Drosophila melanogaster: one gene and its partner. The protein of the gene in region 2 interacts with the protein of the main gene of each other region in a pairwise test. Each region holds a gene or a part of one and is shown on either strand. Other genes may lie near its edges.

Evidence for each region.
Region 1: the proteins of kra (region 2) and CG3880 interact in a two-hybrid assay, tested with the Drosophila melanogaster proteins (one large-scale study listed by BioGRID).

What each region holds. Positions count from the first base shown.
Region 1 is NT_033778.4:24,757,506-24,764,879, reverse strand, and holds CG3880 (uncharacterized protein), read right to left. Parts: upstream 4,217-7,374; 5' UTR 4,034-4,216; intron 3,599-4,033; 5' UTR 3,593-3,598; coding exon 2,735-3,592; intron 2,679-2,734; coding exon 2,334-2,678; 3' UTR 2,275-2,333; downstream 1-2,274. Other genes in the region: CG3894 (uncharacterized protein), read right to left, coding at 1,215-1,625; CG12848 (uncharacterized protein), read left to right, coding at 1,908-2,270; spz6 (spatzle 6), read right to left, coding at 4,666-5,296, 5,697-6,023, 6,084-6,382, 7,365-7,374.
Region 2 is NT_033777.3:5,593,752-5,602,719, forward strand, and holds kra (krasavietz), read right to left. Parts: upstream 7,386-8,968; 5' UTR 7,264-7,385; intron 6,821-7,263; exon of another isoform or gene 6,287-6,820; intron 5,823-6,286; exon of another isoform or gene 5,614-5,822; 5' UTR 5,603-5,613; coding exon 5,365-5,602; intron 5,294-5,364; coding exon 5,193-5,293; intron 5,027-5,192; exon of another isoform or gene 4,887-5,026; intron 4,816-4,886; exon of another isoform or gene 4,672-4,815; intron 4,592-4,671; coding exon 4,453-4,591; intron 4,407-4,452; exon of another isoform or gene 4,264-4,406; intron 4,187-4,263; coding exon 4,021-4,186; intron 3,989-4,020; exon of another isoform or gene 3,845-3,988; intron 3,765-3,844; coding exon 3,521-3,764; intron 3,453-3,520; coding exon 3,110-3,452; intron 3,081-3,109; exon of another isoform or gene 2,946-3,080; intron 2,908-2,945; exon of another isoform or gene 2,775-2,907; intron 2,759-2,774; exon of another isoform or gene 2,609-2,758; intron 2,590-2,608; exon of another isoform or gene 2,450-2,589; intron 2,372-2,449; coding exon 2,334-2,371; 3' UTR 1,613-2,333; downstream 1-1,612. Other genes in the region: SecS (Sec synthetase), read left to right, coding at 7,805-7,918, 7,982-8,111, 8,163-8,968. UniProt on the Drosophila melanogaster protein: May be involved in memory formation.

The DNA of each region.
Region 1 (7,374 bases), on a different chromosome or scaffold from region 2:
CGTTGATCATGATGTTCCAGCGTTTCAGCCATGGATCCAGTGCATCCAGTTGCCTCTGGATGATGGCTGATGCTAATTGAGGGTTTGTTGCGGTGGCAAGGAACGCCGTGTCATCTGCATAGGTGGCTGCTGTGAGGTAACGGGAGGGTATGATAGGGAGGTCTGCTGTAAACAGGGTGTAGAGGATGGGACCAAGGACGCTGCCTTGAGGTACTCCGGCTCGTATAGGCCTTGTCGTGCTTGTTGAGGAACCGCATCGCACTTGGAACTCTCTTCCTTCAGTATACGATTTGAGTAGGGCATAGTGGGAACTGGGAAGGTGGGACTTGAGTTTGTAGAGGAGTCCAGGATGCCACACTCTGTCGAACGCCTGCTTGACATCCAGGAATACGGCCGAACAGTATCGTTTATTCTCGAATGCATCTAGGATGCGTGCTACGAGCCGGTGACATTGCTCTGGTGTTCCGTGGGATCGCCTGAAGCCAAACTGGTGATCAGGGATCAGTCCAGCCTCGTCCAGTACTGGCATGACTCTGCGCAGAAATACTCTTTCGAGTATTTTGGAGAGGATTGTCAGCAGACTAATCGGTCTATATGAGGCAAGATTGGCTTCAGGTTTTCCAGGTTTGAGGGTGAGAATGACTTCTGCACGTTTCCATGATCTCGGGAAGTACCCTAGTGAGAAGCATCTGTTGTATATGTTGGCCAACAACTGGGAACAGGGCGGTGGCAGCATTTTAAGGGATGTGGCGTCGATGCGATCCAGTCCTGGGGATTTGCTAGCCTTTAGGGAGGCGATCTCTTGCGCAACCTCTTCTGGGGTGACGGGCTCTATGGGCAGGCTAGGAGGACATGGACTCTCTAGGAACCTGGTGGTTGCAGCACGCTCTTCGCCAGTGCATCTGTCAAATGGTGTGAATGCATTCTGGAGGTGATCTGCAAACGCTTCAGCTCTTTCGGCTTCAGAGCGGCACCAAGAGCCGTCCGCTTTTCGCACCGGCGACGCCTTCTTTGCAGGCCTCCTGATATGACGCGTGACTTGCCACAGATTATGTTGCGGGTCACCAGGTTCCAGCTCCTCAAGGAATCTGTCGAAGGAGTCTTGCCGTAGGGTACACAGCTTGTCCTTGAGTTCCTTGATGGCTCTGTTGAGTGCTGCCTTGTCCCTTGGGTTGCGCGAGAAAAACCAGATTCTCCTGAGGCGCCTTTTTTCCCTCGCTGCTGGTGCGAATCACATTGGGCGCTAGTTCGGTGAGACCAAGACGCATATGGCCCGACCAGCCGCGCTCTATCTTTTCGATCTCCACCAAGAAGATGTCCCCAGGGGCCAGCGGACGCTCCGAGAATGTCAGGGCGTCGGCAAAACTAGCTCTCCGGTAGGCCACTGTGGCGTCGTCGCCCAACTGGATATTGGACCCGTGGTATGGATGAAAGCGACTCAGCTGCCGCTTGCGACTGCTCAGGGTGGGGGCGCACTCCAACGAACCAATGGGCGATTCCCGGCCTCGGTCCTGCTCCTGGTCTGGGTCTGGATCTTCCTGCTCGGCGGCCGCGTAGGCTGCACGCGAAGGCGCGCAAAGGGCGGCTGGTGCTGCCGCCTCGTCGAGCTGCTCGGCGGCTTCCATGTGCGCGTGGTCTTCGGTGATCCTTGAAGAATCTCCTGGCGTGCCCGCAGGTTGATTATTTACCTTTTGTTCCACGGAGACTCTAAGTGTGACCGTATGCTTATGTTAAACGAAATACCAGGGCTGCAGACGTACTGGCAATCACCACCAAAAGCAGGAACCAGTTCGTGACGTAATCTGAAGCAGCTGTTCAGTTGTCCAGGAGTCGGTGGAAATTACGAGGTGGGTAAAATCGTATTTTTTGACTGAAATGACCGGACTCACAGAGCCAAGGGGTTTCAGATGCGCGTACCCGGAGCCCTGTTTGCCGCGCGCGGCCGAGCGCCTCAAAGCGAGAAGGACGTGCCCTTCCAGGAGATTCTGCCTCTGCGGCTGAAGAACACCGTGAGCGGGAAGGCGGACTCCGGATCCGATGTGGCCTGTCTCCAGGAGATGGGCGTGCTGTTCGCCTGCTTGAAAGACAACGAATTCGTGGAGAAGTACTGCCACAAGGAGATCAGCCAGTTCCAGAACTGCTACAAGTGCTACATGGACCGTAAGTTTGAGGCGAAGAAGACCGTGAACCAGGGAATCGTCCAACCGGGCAGCAACCTGAACTACAAGCAACTTAACAAGTACATGCGCCGCTACCCCAATCCCGTATAGCTTTACATAGTTCAAGTTGTTTAATAATACACTATTTACAATGTACGCAGCAGCATTGATTCGTCAGTAGACCACGTCGGCGTCTCCCAGCCCGGCCGAGGATTGGCTGACCGGCGAGGGCTGGCTGAGCACGAAGTTGGGCATGGCACGCAGGAACTGCGGATGGGAATGAGAGTGCTGCGCCTCGTACAAGTCTGACAGAAGCGGCGGCTTCTCGCGAACCCGACTGAGCAGATCGGACATCTGCCTCGGTTTTGGGACGGTGGGTGTCGGCACAGCCAAATTAATGTGCAGTGGGTAGCCGCCGTGCTCCCAGGTGTCGGCCAGAATCTGGAGGCTGCGATTGGCCTCAAAAACGCGGGCGCGTTGAAAGTTTAGCCTTTCTTGCTGCAGTTCAGACCACTGATCCTGTGCGAAAATCAGGAAAGGGGTAACTATTAATTACAAGCTAGAGGACTACTTACAAATCGGGTTCCTAAACGGCCGAAATACTTTATCTGCTCCTGTACATTGAGCACCTGCATCATATACCAATCGCGTGCCTTCTCCACGCCATCGAGTCCGAAAAGAAGCAGTTCCCGCTGCTCCTCCAATTGCTTCAGTCTTTTTAGCATGTTGTAATCGATGCCGTGTTGCAGAGTGTGCCTCCGCGACTCTCTGCGCTTGCTGCTGGTCTTCTTGGGCACAGCCGGAAGGGCCAGGCTCCAGTCGGTGGCCGAAGCAGAGGTGGAGGAAGAGCCACCGTCAGCCGATCCACGGTGTTCGAATTGTTCCCGCGACTGCGTCGTTTTTGACTTTCCTGCGTCCGCCATCAGGTTCAGTTGCCAGTTTTGGAGGGCATGGCGAATGTCGTCTTTACCCAGAGCAGGGGACTTGGGTACCTGTCGTGGAGGTTTTGGCGGCGGAGCAGGAGAATGGAACTCCATCTCCGGAGCAAGAGTTCCGTGGGAACGAGGCCGCAACTTCAGGTCTTCCACAGCGTTTTGCTGATTGCGGAGCAGGCACAGCTTGAGGCCGGCGCAGAACCGCTCGAAGGAGAGAAGTCCGCTACTGGGAGTGACCCGACGGAGTGAGTCCACAACTCCGCGTGGCAGTCCCTTGGAGCCATCATCCTGCCAGCCCTTCTCGATGTCCGTGAAGCGCACGTATCCGGTCTGCTTGTCATCTAAGATGTCGAAGAGCTTTTTCATGGACAGGACGAACTGCTTAGGCAGCGTATCCAGTTCCCAAAATTGCGACTGCCCCTGTGGATGGCTGCCTCCCACATCGCCTATGCTTAGGTTCAGCAGACTGGTACTGGTATTCTTGTTCTGGCGGAGCATCTTCGTCTGCGGATGGCGCAAAATGGAAAGTGGGATGAGATTATGAATCGTATAGTCCCACGCTTGGCACCAATGCATAACTTATATTAATAGGAGCTCATTTGCATGGGTAACTCCAAATGGAATGTGTGTGAATCTGGCACGCTGCCTTAGGACTGAATCTCTGAGCTAAGATATTTCCCACTTATTTACAAGCAGTTTTAACAAATTTATTTTTATAAAATCGTCTAGTCGCCACACAAAATTACTTGATTTCAAACTCTACAATTTTATTTAAATGGGCTCAACTGAGACGTGCAAATGAATGATTTTGTTAGTTTCTTGCCTTCAAGTACCAAGTTTACTCAATGTTATTATCGCAGCTGCATCTGTACCTTAGTCCACTTTGGTTGCTTATTTTGTTTATAAACAAAGAGACGGCCCTCCATTTGGCTGACTTACCCAAGCTATGCGGAAAATTGGCTCCTGAAATCCGAGTCCGCGGCTCGTCTGGCAGCCTTTTGAGGCCGTTCGTCAAGGCTTCTGCGCAAACTCTGCAACTATTCTGTGTATGTAATGCAGCTCGGTCGCTTGGATCCCCGGCCAAAACACCCAAAGCCAACCAACTGGTTATATTGACTGCACACTAGATCAGCGGCCGAGGTTTTGGGCCCGAGTCTCGCACGCATGCGCAACTTGCGCGACTGGTTTCTGTGGGTTTTCGGTGGATCTTCCAACACAAGCGCAGCTGAGAGAGTTCCAGGAGGCTAACACACACAGGCTAGGCCAATACCACATCGCAGTCTCAGCAAAGTGCCGAATAGAGAGGCTCTCTTATGATTAGGTAGAAACGTATTTATTAGTAGAAATGCACTGCTCTTGGCTTAATCAGTCGAAAGAGGGAGCTAACCGCCTAGGTTAAGATTGTATCTGGTAGATGCACGAACTGCAAACTCTGCGTGATCCGTATAGGGCTGTGGGGCACCCGGGTGGATTACTAGAATGAGCCTTTCACCTCAAAGTTGTGTTCCTCTAAAGGCTAGAACTTAGTCTTATTCTAAGGATTTCCTTCGAAAATCCTGTCCAGGAAGTGTTCACAACTCGGCCACCGACTTCCGGCGCACGTACTTGGCGAAGTAGTCCGGGCGCCAGCACTTGCAAGAGCCGGGGATGAGGAACCAGTCGTAGTAGAGACGCACCTGGAAGCAGCCCAGTTCATCGTGTCCATCGCAGTGGGCGTCCACCTGCGCCGCGGGGCCGGCTGCTCCAGACGAGGTTCCGTCGGAGGCGGTAGCCACGCCTGCCCTCTTCTGCAGGTACTGCTGGTAGGCCTGGAAATCCTGCACAGAAGGGGCCTGAGTGGTGGTCGAGCTGGTGGGCACTGTGTCCTCCGCATTGGGGTAGAAGATCTCCGCCACCAACAGGCTTACCCAGCGTGGTGACGACAAGCAACCGCCGTCCAGGTAGTGACAGCGTGCCTGAATGCAACGCGTCACCTCCACCGTCTGGGTGAAGTAGCCCTCATAGGGAATCTGGACCACATAACGCCAGGCGCCTTGGTAGTTCTTAGCGAAGACGGGAGTAGCGTACTCTACCTTGGCGGGACAGGGAGTGGGAGGACCCTCGTACCGGATGGGACCCACCTCCTCGCGCCTTTCCGCAGTGGGCGTGGCAGGGGCTGCTCCTCCGGTGTCTCCCTGAATTGCCCTGTATAAGGTGCAAAATCTGTGGGTGGAGTTAAAAGTTTAAAAATCTTTTATTAATTGACCTGCACGCAGTTGTGTCGTCAAAATGCTAAGCAGTTGAATACCCCATGATGTACTCCTCTCTTAACCTATTCTACAATATCTATGGATGTCGATTAAAGTGTTGAGCTTCTTTAGTTGTATGGCTTTACATTATGATGTGGAAAGTGAAATGACAAGCTCATTTGGGTTCTTTGCCTTGATAATTCTTCGAATCTATAATTTTATAAAGATGACTCATAATTTTTAAGTGGTGACCTCTTTAGCTTTATATGCGCGCCTTTCCCGTGCTTTAAGAAATACGATATATTTATCTTTCATTTATGTAGCAGTTAAGATTGGAATAACTCTACTCCCCCGTTTCCATGCTAAAAACTTACACTCCACCGCCATCGCAGAATTTCCTTGGCTTCCTCTCCTCGGCGGCCCTTCTCTGCTGGTTATTCCGATCCCTTTGCTTGTGTTGCTCCTCCTCGTCCAGGGCGGGATCGAAGTAGCTGTACTCGTTGGACTCCACGCCCTCCGGCAGGCTGCGGCGGACGCGAGTGGAACCTCCTGCGGGATAGGGCCTGTCGATGTTGTTGCTGTCCAGCTGTTCCACGGGTTCATCTCGAATGATCTGGGTGACCTTGGGTAGGGTATCGTCGGCCTTTAGAACGGGCAAAGTTTTCGAAAGGAACTTCAGCGTTTGGTTGCGAATAAGTTCGCTGTGGAGGAGGTGTACATTAGAGATGTCTGAAATTTGTTACGCAAATATTTTCACCTACAAGGGATAGGGCTCCCCGAGTACATTTTGTCCCAGCGGATTCTTGGGTATCTGACCCTTGTTTAGATCTCCGCAAATGTTGTGAACGGACACGGCAGACTTCTTGCCGGCGGCCACGTCCTTGCACTCCGCATTTACAAAGGTGTAAGGTGGCGGCCTGACCTTGGGAGGCACCGCATTCGGGGACTCGACGAAGGCGTAATAACCCTCCGGAGGCTGCTCCTCACCGTAGTCAGATGGCGACTGCTGCTGCGGCTGGGAGAAACCCAATTGGGCCAGCAGCAGAAAGCTGAGAATTTTCTACAAAACAAAAGATAGTCACAGTGGAGGTACAATCAGTGGCCGTAGCCGTCTGGAGTCGAGTTAATTGCCCAGAAGAGTCGGTGAATGGCCCAATATTGTCCGGAAAAAGAATCGAGATCTTTTACCCGGCCATACATACACTTTTCGATGTTTTGTTGTTTGGCGAAAGCGCGAAAGTTTCTGTTTCTGTTTTTGTGAAGATAAACAAACCGAGGCAGCAACTGCGATCGAGACGCCACTTCAGCATCTCTCCGCTGTGCTCACTTGACCATTAATTGTTCGAGGGAACTTTCCCTGAAGTTCTGGGCAGTGGCATCTCAATGAAACCAAAAGTTCCACGGACAGACCCGAGTAATCCAGGTCAAGTGGTACAGATCGGTGGGCGGCTGCAGTGCCAAGAAGCTGTGGAATTTCTCTCTTTGTGACACGGTTCACAGCGTAATTTGAATGCGGCGTCGGGGAATCCAAAATCGGGTCAGCCGCTAAGCTCGTTCTTTTGTTTTTTCCCTTCTAATGAGGCAGAAACTTGTTTGCCCTGCGAGAGAGCTCCCAAATGGAAAGAGCACAATTTGCATAGGTAAATATTGGTAGCTCAATTGCAGAATGAAGACCTAACCGCCTTTCGGGGCCAAGACAGGCTGATTTGATCTGGTCAGGAAAGAACTTGTTGGCGCTCTGTTCCCAATATGCGTGCCACACGCCTAACGGGAAAGTTGCTCGGCACCCGGCCAAAAGCCAGTAGTTAGAAGACCGAACTAGAAGAAGGGGCAGAACGGATCGGAACGTACGCTGCTCTTTGGTTAGCTTAATTCATTAGCATGCTCCAGAATCGGGCGGTTCCCAGGGACTGAGTAACAGTAAACGTAAGCGGTTAGCTCGCCAATGTTAACGCATTGCAAAACAAAAGACTTGGGCAACGAACTTGACCAGCGAGCCATAGAAAAAGTGTGCAGTTAGCACACCCGTAATGATGACATACCAGCACTAGA
Region 2 (8,968 bases):
TACATATGCACATATTTCTGAGCAGTAGGTCTAGATATGTGCTTATATTGTATACATACACTTTAAAATTTTGCATACATTCCTGTCCAAGAATTTTTATTTCAGTTTTCCCCTCGTTTATTGTACATTATTTTCTGTAGTCTTTGTTAACTTTTTATATGTCTATGTCGTTTATGTTCGTAATTATCAAGTGCAGCGTTCAGGAGGAACAACGGCAGTGGATCGCCCCTTTTACAGAGCCGCTGGCAGGTTGCGCATGCGACCACACAGCATTGTTGCTCAGCGAAGCACCGAAATGGACCTAAACCCCCGATTTCGCTTCTTCGAGGGCAACGGACGCTTGTGCAACTGCCACTGGCTCAACGAAAGCCCCGAAAATCATCAATGTCTGTTGTTGTTGAGATACCGAGAGTAGAGAATACACACTGCTTAGCACGCGACACTTAATACCCATTCATTACACATGCACCAACGACGATGAAGTTTTGCCAAGTAGCTAAGTTTGTTGACCTGACCATCAAGTGCAGCTTTCACACCCTCATATAACTACTTAAAGAAAATATAGAAAAATGGAAATTAGTTTTGCAATTTAGGGGACTGCCGAACTGCCACCGTTTCCACCTGACGCTGCGCCATCATATCAGGCTCTAAAAATCAACACACCATGTTCAAACACACGACTAGCATACAGGAGCAGGAGCTACAGTAAATTTGAACCTTGTATTCGCATGTTCGCCAATGTTCATAGTGTATTCTTCAAGCTCATTTTCTAACCAAGTTACCAAGTTCAATATGATGAATAACTACAAGATTAGCAAACAAATACAAGTAGCATATGCGTTATTATATAACATCGAGTACTATATACATTACATGAAATACAAAATGCAAGAAAAATTACTTTTAAACAAAATTTATGTTGAATAAAAAACAGTATTTCCAAAAACTAAACTTAACTGTATAACAACTTCCTTTTGCAATGTTCTAATGATCCTAAAAACAAGACATGGGGTAAACTATTTTAAGAAATTCAATCTAGGACTTCAAATAAGTCTTAATTAAGTACACCCATATTCTTGATCAGCAGAGTCAACTTGCTCATGTTTGTATGAAAACCTAGAACATAAAAAAGCCAGAAGGTCTGGACTAAACTCGCAGATTCCTGTAACTTGGAAGCACCACGAGTTTGCTTTAGAAGATGCCTTTCCGTTGAACTAAAACTAGACGAGTAAAGCGTATCTCAAACATTGTATCTTCCGAACCAAAATAGTGCTGCATACTTTTCGGGATATGTCTTATTCAATGTAAGTAATACAAAAAGAAAAAAGGTAACTTCTTAAAACTTGTAATATTTGTCACAAATGAATGACGACTAGATTTGGCCATGTCTGTAACAATAAACGTACAAAATATTCGAAGTTGCAGAAATGGGGATCCAGCATTCGGATTTGGTTTTTTGTCAAACTTTTAAATATAGAATCGGACCACATCTTTTTAAGACCTTAAAAAACTGATTTGAAGTTAGACCCCTCATAATGCCAACTAAATTTGTTAAACAAAAATATGCCCCTATATGCCAATCAAATTTAAATACAATGCTTTCTCAGCGTTTCAGTTAAATACTTTGGGTTGTTTAATGGTTTTATACGTATACATGTGCTAAGTCCATGTATCTTATATTTCGTAAATCCATAGATTTTGTTCGACGAAACTTTGCTAAATGATATTGATCTTTCAAATATAACTTGTTAATTTCCTTTCATCGCCGTGGCAAATCCTTCGAGAGTGAGTACTACTTGTTAAACGCATATATGAGGAAAATTTATTGATGAATAATGCGAACATGCAAACGGAACACATCCCCGAATTCACACAAAGCATCTCTGTGGTATCTCTTTTGGTTTTTTATTTGTTGCATCAACTCCGCGGAACTCCAGCTACCTCACTGCAGGTCGTAGTAGTCGACGTTATTGGCGGTCAGATGTTCTCTATTAATTTGGAGCGTGCTGCTGTTTCCACTTCAAACTTTTATTAACATATATAGTATGGGTTTGCCGGTATATTGCAAACGGGAACTAAGTGTAGATTCGTGAATGATATCAGACTGGACTGCAAACGTTTAGTTTCTAGCATGTTTTTTTTACTCTCTCCTTTATTTGTTGGAATTTTTGAGTTTTATATAGGTGGAGTTTTCAAAATGACATTAATTCATAGGGGTGAGTTTTATATATAGTTCGACTGGCTGTTGCAGGTGCTGGTTTCGAATTTTTGGATGGGGATGCTAAAGGGCGGCTCCGTTTGTGTTCATCCTCATTTAGCCATCAACCAAGTTCTTACTCGCCATTCTTTTGTTCGTCCTCAGATTCGGATTCTGAAAGAGAATAGAATACAAAATGTTAGTATGGGGGCTTCAATTGGTACAAACTGAAAAGATGTGCAGCTCCGGTTATGCTGTCCAAATGATTATTGGCCAAATTTAACTATGGAAAGTTATCTGGACACCCAACCATTCAAATGCTTTGGCACAACTCCCCGCTTGGCTCAATCGAATGAAGCAACCATTCGGAGCTTTTATGAGGGGATTGTGCATGCGGACTAGGACAAATGCAGCTGTCCAAACGATTATTGGCCAAATTAACCACGGCATTGGGTTATATGGGCACCCAATCATTCTTTCGCTTTTGCATACTGTACATGAACCCTTTAAAACTGGTTCCTAATAATGGGAACACTTTAAAAGCTTGGTAAGAAGCATGCTCGGTGAAGTCAGCTATTTGTGTCCAAGTTTTCATTGGCCTTTGATGCTCGGATTTTGTGAGGCAACAAGGCAAGCAAAAACTCAAATGCTCTTGCAATTTTGTACAATGAAAATGTCATCCAGGACAAGACCATTCTCAAAAAGTGCACTGTGTAAAGTTTCGAAGGAAGCAAAATTTGAATATTTATATTGTCCAGGTTTTCATTGGCCTACGTTGTTCAGTGAATGGAAATCAACGAGGCAAGCAAAAAACCCAAATTTCTCTTGCAATTACGTACCAGAATCAAGCTATTTAAGACAAGACCATTCTCAAAAATTGCACGCTGATAACATTTATCAAAACATACTAACCTTCTTCGGCTGACTGAAGCCATTCGACAAACTTTCGCATTTGTTCAAGGAAATGCATTTTGCCCTTGTTTGAGTGGCCCTCCTTGTACCAGCGCAAGATGATCTCCTCGGACAGGACCTCGGTCTTGTAGAACAACAAAATGATTTTCTGGAAGGCCTTCATGAAGTTCATGTTCTCGTAGCAGAATTCCTGCACCTTCAAGATTAGGGCCAATTCCGAACGGTCGGTCGAGGCGAAAGCCTGCAACAGTGGGCAGTAGTTCTTCAGATGACGAACAGCCTGATCGGTAACCAGCTCCTCCTTCTTGTTCCATTCGCCCAATGACATGATGGTGGACCAAATCTGGTAAAGATCATACATGAGATTTAGTAAGGAAATCATCCAGTTGGATTATTTACGCATCGACTTACAATAACAATTATTTCATGATCGGGAATGTTGGTGCGCTGCGAGAAGTCCTTAATGTCTGAGGTTATCTCATTATATGGCTTCTCATCGTTGATATCATCGATGAGCGCCTGCTGCAACTCACGCTTCGCCTCCTGGCTAGCCTGAGCCTTATGTAGCTTGACGATCTCGTTAAGTTCTTTGTCAAGAAAAACTTGTTTAAAATATTCCTCAGTACGTTTGTTCGGTGGGAAAAAGTCCATAAGTCTGGAAAAACGTGAAAAAGTGGAACCATTATTAATAATTTAAGTTAACGCATTCAATAATCAACCTTAAATGACGTATTGAGGTGTACGAAATTAAATCAGCACCCAAATGAAGCGAAAGGTCATTTGCGAATTGGGTAAAACTCCGTCGAACTTTCTTACTCTAGGAATATCAATTAAAGATGCACAACTGGATCATTGAGTCATCTTCCTGAGAACATTCCGGGGCTAAAAACAAATCACAACTAAAAACTTACTTGCTTTCCAGTCCACCCTTCTTAAGCGCCTGAATCAGATATGCAATGCCCTTCTCTTGCTTGAACGTCTGGAACAGCTCTAGTAGAAACTCCAATGCAATGCCATCCTTGATTAGGTGCTCGTTGTTTAGTACCAGTAAAACATTTGGCGGTACAGAACCGTTGACTGTTGATCAAAAATAGGGTTAAATATAGGGTTAGTCAAATGTTTTCGCAAAACAAGTTTAGACGGCCGGCTAGCAATCCTGTCCTTGGGCTCGTGGCCCTTAGATGTGGTTAGTTCATCCAAGAGTCAGTATACCAAGTGAAGGATTACTTTAGCCCCTCAGCTGCAAGTTGAACAAGTGTTTATCGAAACAACTAATTGAAAGACCGAATGGGCAGACGCAAGCAATGCACAGGAGGAACAGGAACATAAATGTTAAGACTTACCTAACCAGAGCGCTGTCATACGCGCAAGCTTGATGCGTTCACTAGGAGTAAAGCCCTTTACGAATAATAGAACCTTTCCCATCTCCTCTTCGAACATTTTCTCAAGGTACTTGTACCGTCTGATGAGCTTGACAAATACCTGGAAAAGGTAAAGTGTGATTGCCCCTGTTAGCGGATGGTGAAATTTTACTGTGTTCTCACGCAGGAGGCTTTTGTATTTGTTGTTGCAACATTAGAAATCTTTAGATTGCTGGCGGTAGTAATTTTACAAAATAAAGACAAGTAAAATGTGGCTTTTTATTTTGCATATTTTGACACCGATTGAGTTGTTGAGATGCATAACCGGTTCTAATAATATGCACTTTGATTCAATAGCGTGACCTTCGCAGTGGTTGCATGCATATAGTATATATATATAGTGTTGAATAAAGAGTAGTTGTTGACACATAAGAAATCTTCAGAACGTTAGTGTTTAGGACAAACCAAAGACAAGTAAATGTGTTGATTGTTATTGCATATTCTTGACACCGATTACATTTTTGAAACTTTATAGTCAGCTCTAATGATATGCAGCCACTTCACGAATTTCATACTTTTAAGTGGATCCGAAGAAAATCATTTAGTAGTAAATAAACGTTTTAGCTTGGAAAACAACAAGAGCTCAACTTGTGTTGCAATCAAACCAATTTTCGTTTACTCATAATCATAATTTAAGTATGACCTGCTAAAAGATTACAAACCTGCTCATGGTTGCGCATGCTCTCCATGCTCTCGGGCGCATCGAAGATGCAGTAGCTTGTGCGCGGCTTTTCGCCATCCTGAGATATAGAACCACCAGGCACTGCAATTGAAACGAGGATGGAAAAGGGTCAGTGAAGAGACTAAACACATTACTTGCAGCGGAAAACTTACCTAGTAGACCTCCTGCAATCAATATGTCAAAGAGAACTTCACCGTAGCGACGATAGTCGAGCTTGTTGCCCGCGCTGTCTAGATATTTAGAGATTTGTTCCAGGTCGCCTTCAGTTTTTTCGAGACCAGCAATGACCGCATCACGGAATCCCGTTGGGTCATATTTTTCTCTTTCATCTCTTTTTCTGGTCTTGATGCGTTGACCCGATAGCACTGGTCTTTCAGTTTTTTGACTCATACAATAAATTGCTGCAAAGGTAAATGTGGATCAGAGATGGAAGCGGTTTTGGTTTGCCCCTGTAAGTTTTTATTTCTGACCAGACTAAATTATCATGGCCACTAGATTCATTTTTAGATTTATCTTAATTTTAGTGTAAGATGACTAAGGTGGTCTCCAAGCGGTGGAAAACCGTTCCCTGTATATGTATTCTCGTTGCGCTCATAATCAAACTACAACATTTTCACCTATGACCGGCGTTTAAGTGGAAACTCTAGTGAAAACTGAGCCTAAGAAAGCCTTAACCTAAAAATGCCAGCGTACATGTGCTTTAAACACACACATTCAAGAGCGGAGAACGGGCACACTTCACATCTCTTTTTAATTATCTCTCTTTTTCACACACACATACCCACTGTGCATTTTACAGTTTGATAATGTCGACAAAAGAAATAAAAAGAATTGAGAGGTGAGGCGACCAAGAAATCGACATAGAAACGCAGAATAAAGTGAAATTTTGACGTGGTTACTTGTGTTAGGTAGCGCGCTGGGGAAATGAGGTCATTGTGCATGTAGTGCACATAAAAACGCGCCGATGACTGTGTGCTAGTTGGCCGGGAAAATTGTCATAGCAGCGAAAACGCAAAAATTAAATTATCTAGGCTATCAAGTACACATTGGTACATATAAGGAACGGCAACTTACGCTTTCACCCAAGGATATTAAGTCTGGCCCTGTGTTTGCCGCTTCCGCGTGTCCTTGCAATCAATTGAAATCAGTCGTGTGCGAGTGTAGTGTGTATGTGTGTGTGTGTGTGCCTGTTGCTTTTTCACAACTAACGAACGTGCGAGAATATGTAATTTAATTTAACCTCACGAAGCGCTGGCTGGTTAATGCTTCTCACTCGAGTCGACGAAAAACAAAGAGACAGATGGCAGATCCCTTCTTTTCTTACCTCTCTTTTCTTATGAGCGAGCTTTTGCACGGTAAAATTGACACGCACGCACACACACAACAACAAAGAAAAGGGGAGAGCAAATAGAAAATATAATTTTTTGTAACGGAATTTACTTTTATGCCTTCAAAATAAACGTTAACAATTTTGCTCAGACTACGTCCGGAATTCTATTTTTAACAGCTATCACAATCGGTTACTAGGTATATGTGTTGTTTGCCTCGAATCCAGCGCCCCTCTGCTCGCACCACTTTGTTAAACGAAATTCGGAGAGCGAATGAGACGACACACGAGCGCACGAACGAAGCGGACGAGCCGAGAACGAAGACATGTGGTTCGGCGCCATTTTGAAGCGATACACTGACATGGCGAAAGCGGAATGATGGGCACAGGGAAAACGAAAATTAGGGGGAAACGGTGAGAAAAAATGTGGGATGGGGGTTCAAAGTGTGTATATTGCTGTCGCGCTTATTAAATAATGAGCAAGGTACAGTCGAACAAAGGCCGACGGCCACCAAATGATTTTTTGCATGAATATATGACTGCCCGATGACTAATCTGGCCTTAGGTACGCACGCAGTTCGTACATAACCCCTTTTCCAACGAAAGCGCAGACAAAGGATTGGTCAAGGCCAGAGAAATGACCAGGACCGCGATTTTACTCGCCCTATTTGTCTTTCTGTGTACTTAGGTCTACTCTAGCGCTATTTTTCACTCCTATACTTACGATTAAAACAAAAAAATCTGTTTTGCTGCGAATAAAAGTAACTTTTTGCGTAGCTGTTGGGCTGCTTCTTCTGGATGACTTGCGGTATGACCGTGGCCTGCTTCGTACGCAATGGTACAGAGCTCACTAAGGTGTCCAAAAGGTGGCAACATTTTGGTGAAGCTGTTGGCTGGCCCCACTAACCGGACCTGAAAATGGTGCAGCGCTGCCGGACATTTAACGGAATCAAAGATTCCACAAAAGTCATGTTTGCATTAACAAAATTCATATTTAACCTTAACAAATTCAACAAATTAAGTTAAGTCCATTTTAGTAGCGTTGCGAGGAGTTTATTTTCGAAAATACGCCTTTGTATATATTATATATTTTTCCTCCACTTTAAACAAAATCGAAAGGTGTCCATTTGTCAGCTATTTAAACAATATGGCATCGCCGCCTTACTTGCTCAGTAAGAAAATTTAACTGTTTTTTTTTTGCGCACCTGAAAGCGGCGATAGACATTGTTTACTTTTAGTTTATATTTACATTATCCAAAAGCCAAATGAACTTTGAGCAGGTCAATATACCAGAGAAACTAGTGCCGGACAACTATTTGCAACTGGGACTGGCTGCGCAACGCAGTAAGCAGCGCAGTTTTAAGGAGCTGCTCGAAAAGGTAATCAAACCGAAATTAAACCCAAATTAATTGATAACTCCATGGATAATTCTTCTTTTCAAGCGAAAGCTTCCGAAAAATGGTTGGTCCGATGAACGTATCGAGGAGCTGGTGCACATGCTGGCTTCCTTGGACAGCAATAACTATCCACATAAGGTCGGTTTAGGAGAGCGGGAGGCGCGTATAGCCTGCAGTAAGTAAGGGATCAGGAGGCGATATCCCCCGTAATGAATTTGTCATTCAGAACTCGTGGCTCGCCGTCACTACAACTTCGGTCATGGTATCGGCAGATCTGGAGACTTACTAGAGGCACAACCCAAGGCAGCTGGCTCTACGCTGCTCGCTCGTCTCACAAACGCCCTGATTCTGGACCTTATTCGGGGAATCGGACTGCCCAGCTGTGCTGGCTGCTTTTTGGTGCCAATGTGTACAGGCATGACATTGACTTTGTGCCTGCAGAGTCTTCGCAAGCGGCGACCCGGGGCGCGGTATGTGCTCTGGTCCCGCATCGATCAGAAGTCCTGCTTCAAGGCCATCACAGCAACGGGCTTGGTGCCGGTAGTCATCCCCTGCCTTATTAAAGGAGAGTCCCTGAACACGAACGTAGATTTATTCCGAGAAAAGATAAAGTCATTGGGAGTGGATAGCATCCTCTGCCTGTACACTACCACCAGTTGTTTTGCTCCACGAAACAGCGATGACATTGCCGAAGTATCCAAGTTGTCCAAACAATGGCAGATTCCCCATCTGGTCAATAATGCCTATGGATTGCAGGCAAAGGAAATCGTTAATCAGTTGGAGTGCGCCAATCGAGTCGGACGCATTGATTACTTCGTTCAGAGCAGCGACAAGAATTTGCTGGTGCCAGTGGGTAGTGCCATTGTGGCCAGCTTCAATGAGAGTGTGCTCCACGATGTGGCCAGTACTTATGCTGGGAGAGCTAGTGGTTCCCAGTCACTAGATGTCTTGATGACGCTACTCTCACTTGGGCGCAATGGCTTTCGATTGCTTTTCGATCAGCGGGGCGAGAACTTCAATTACCTGAGAGAG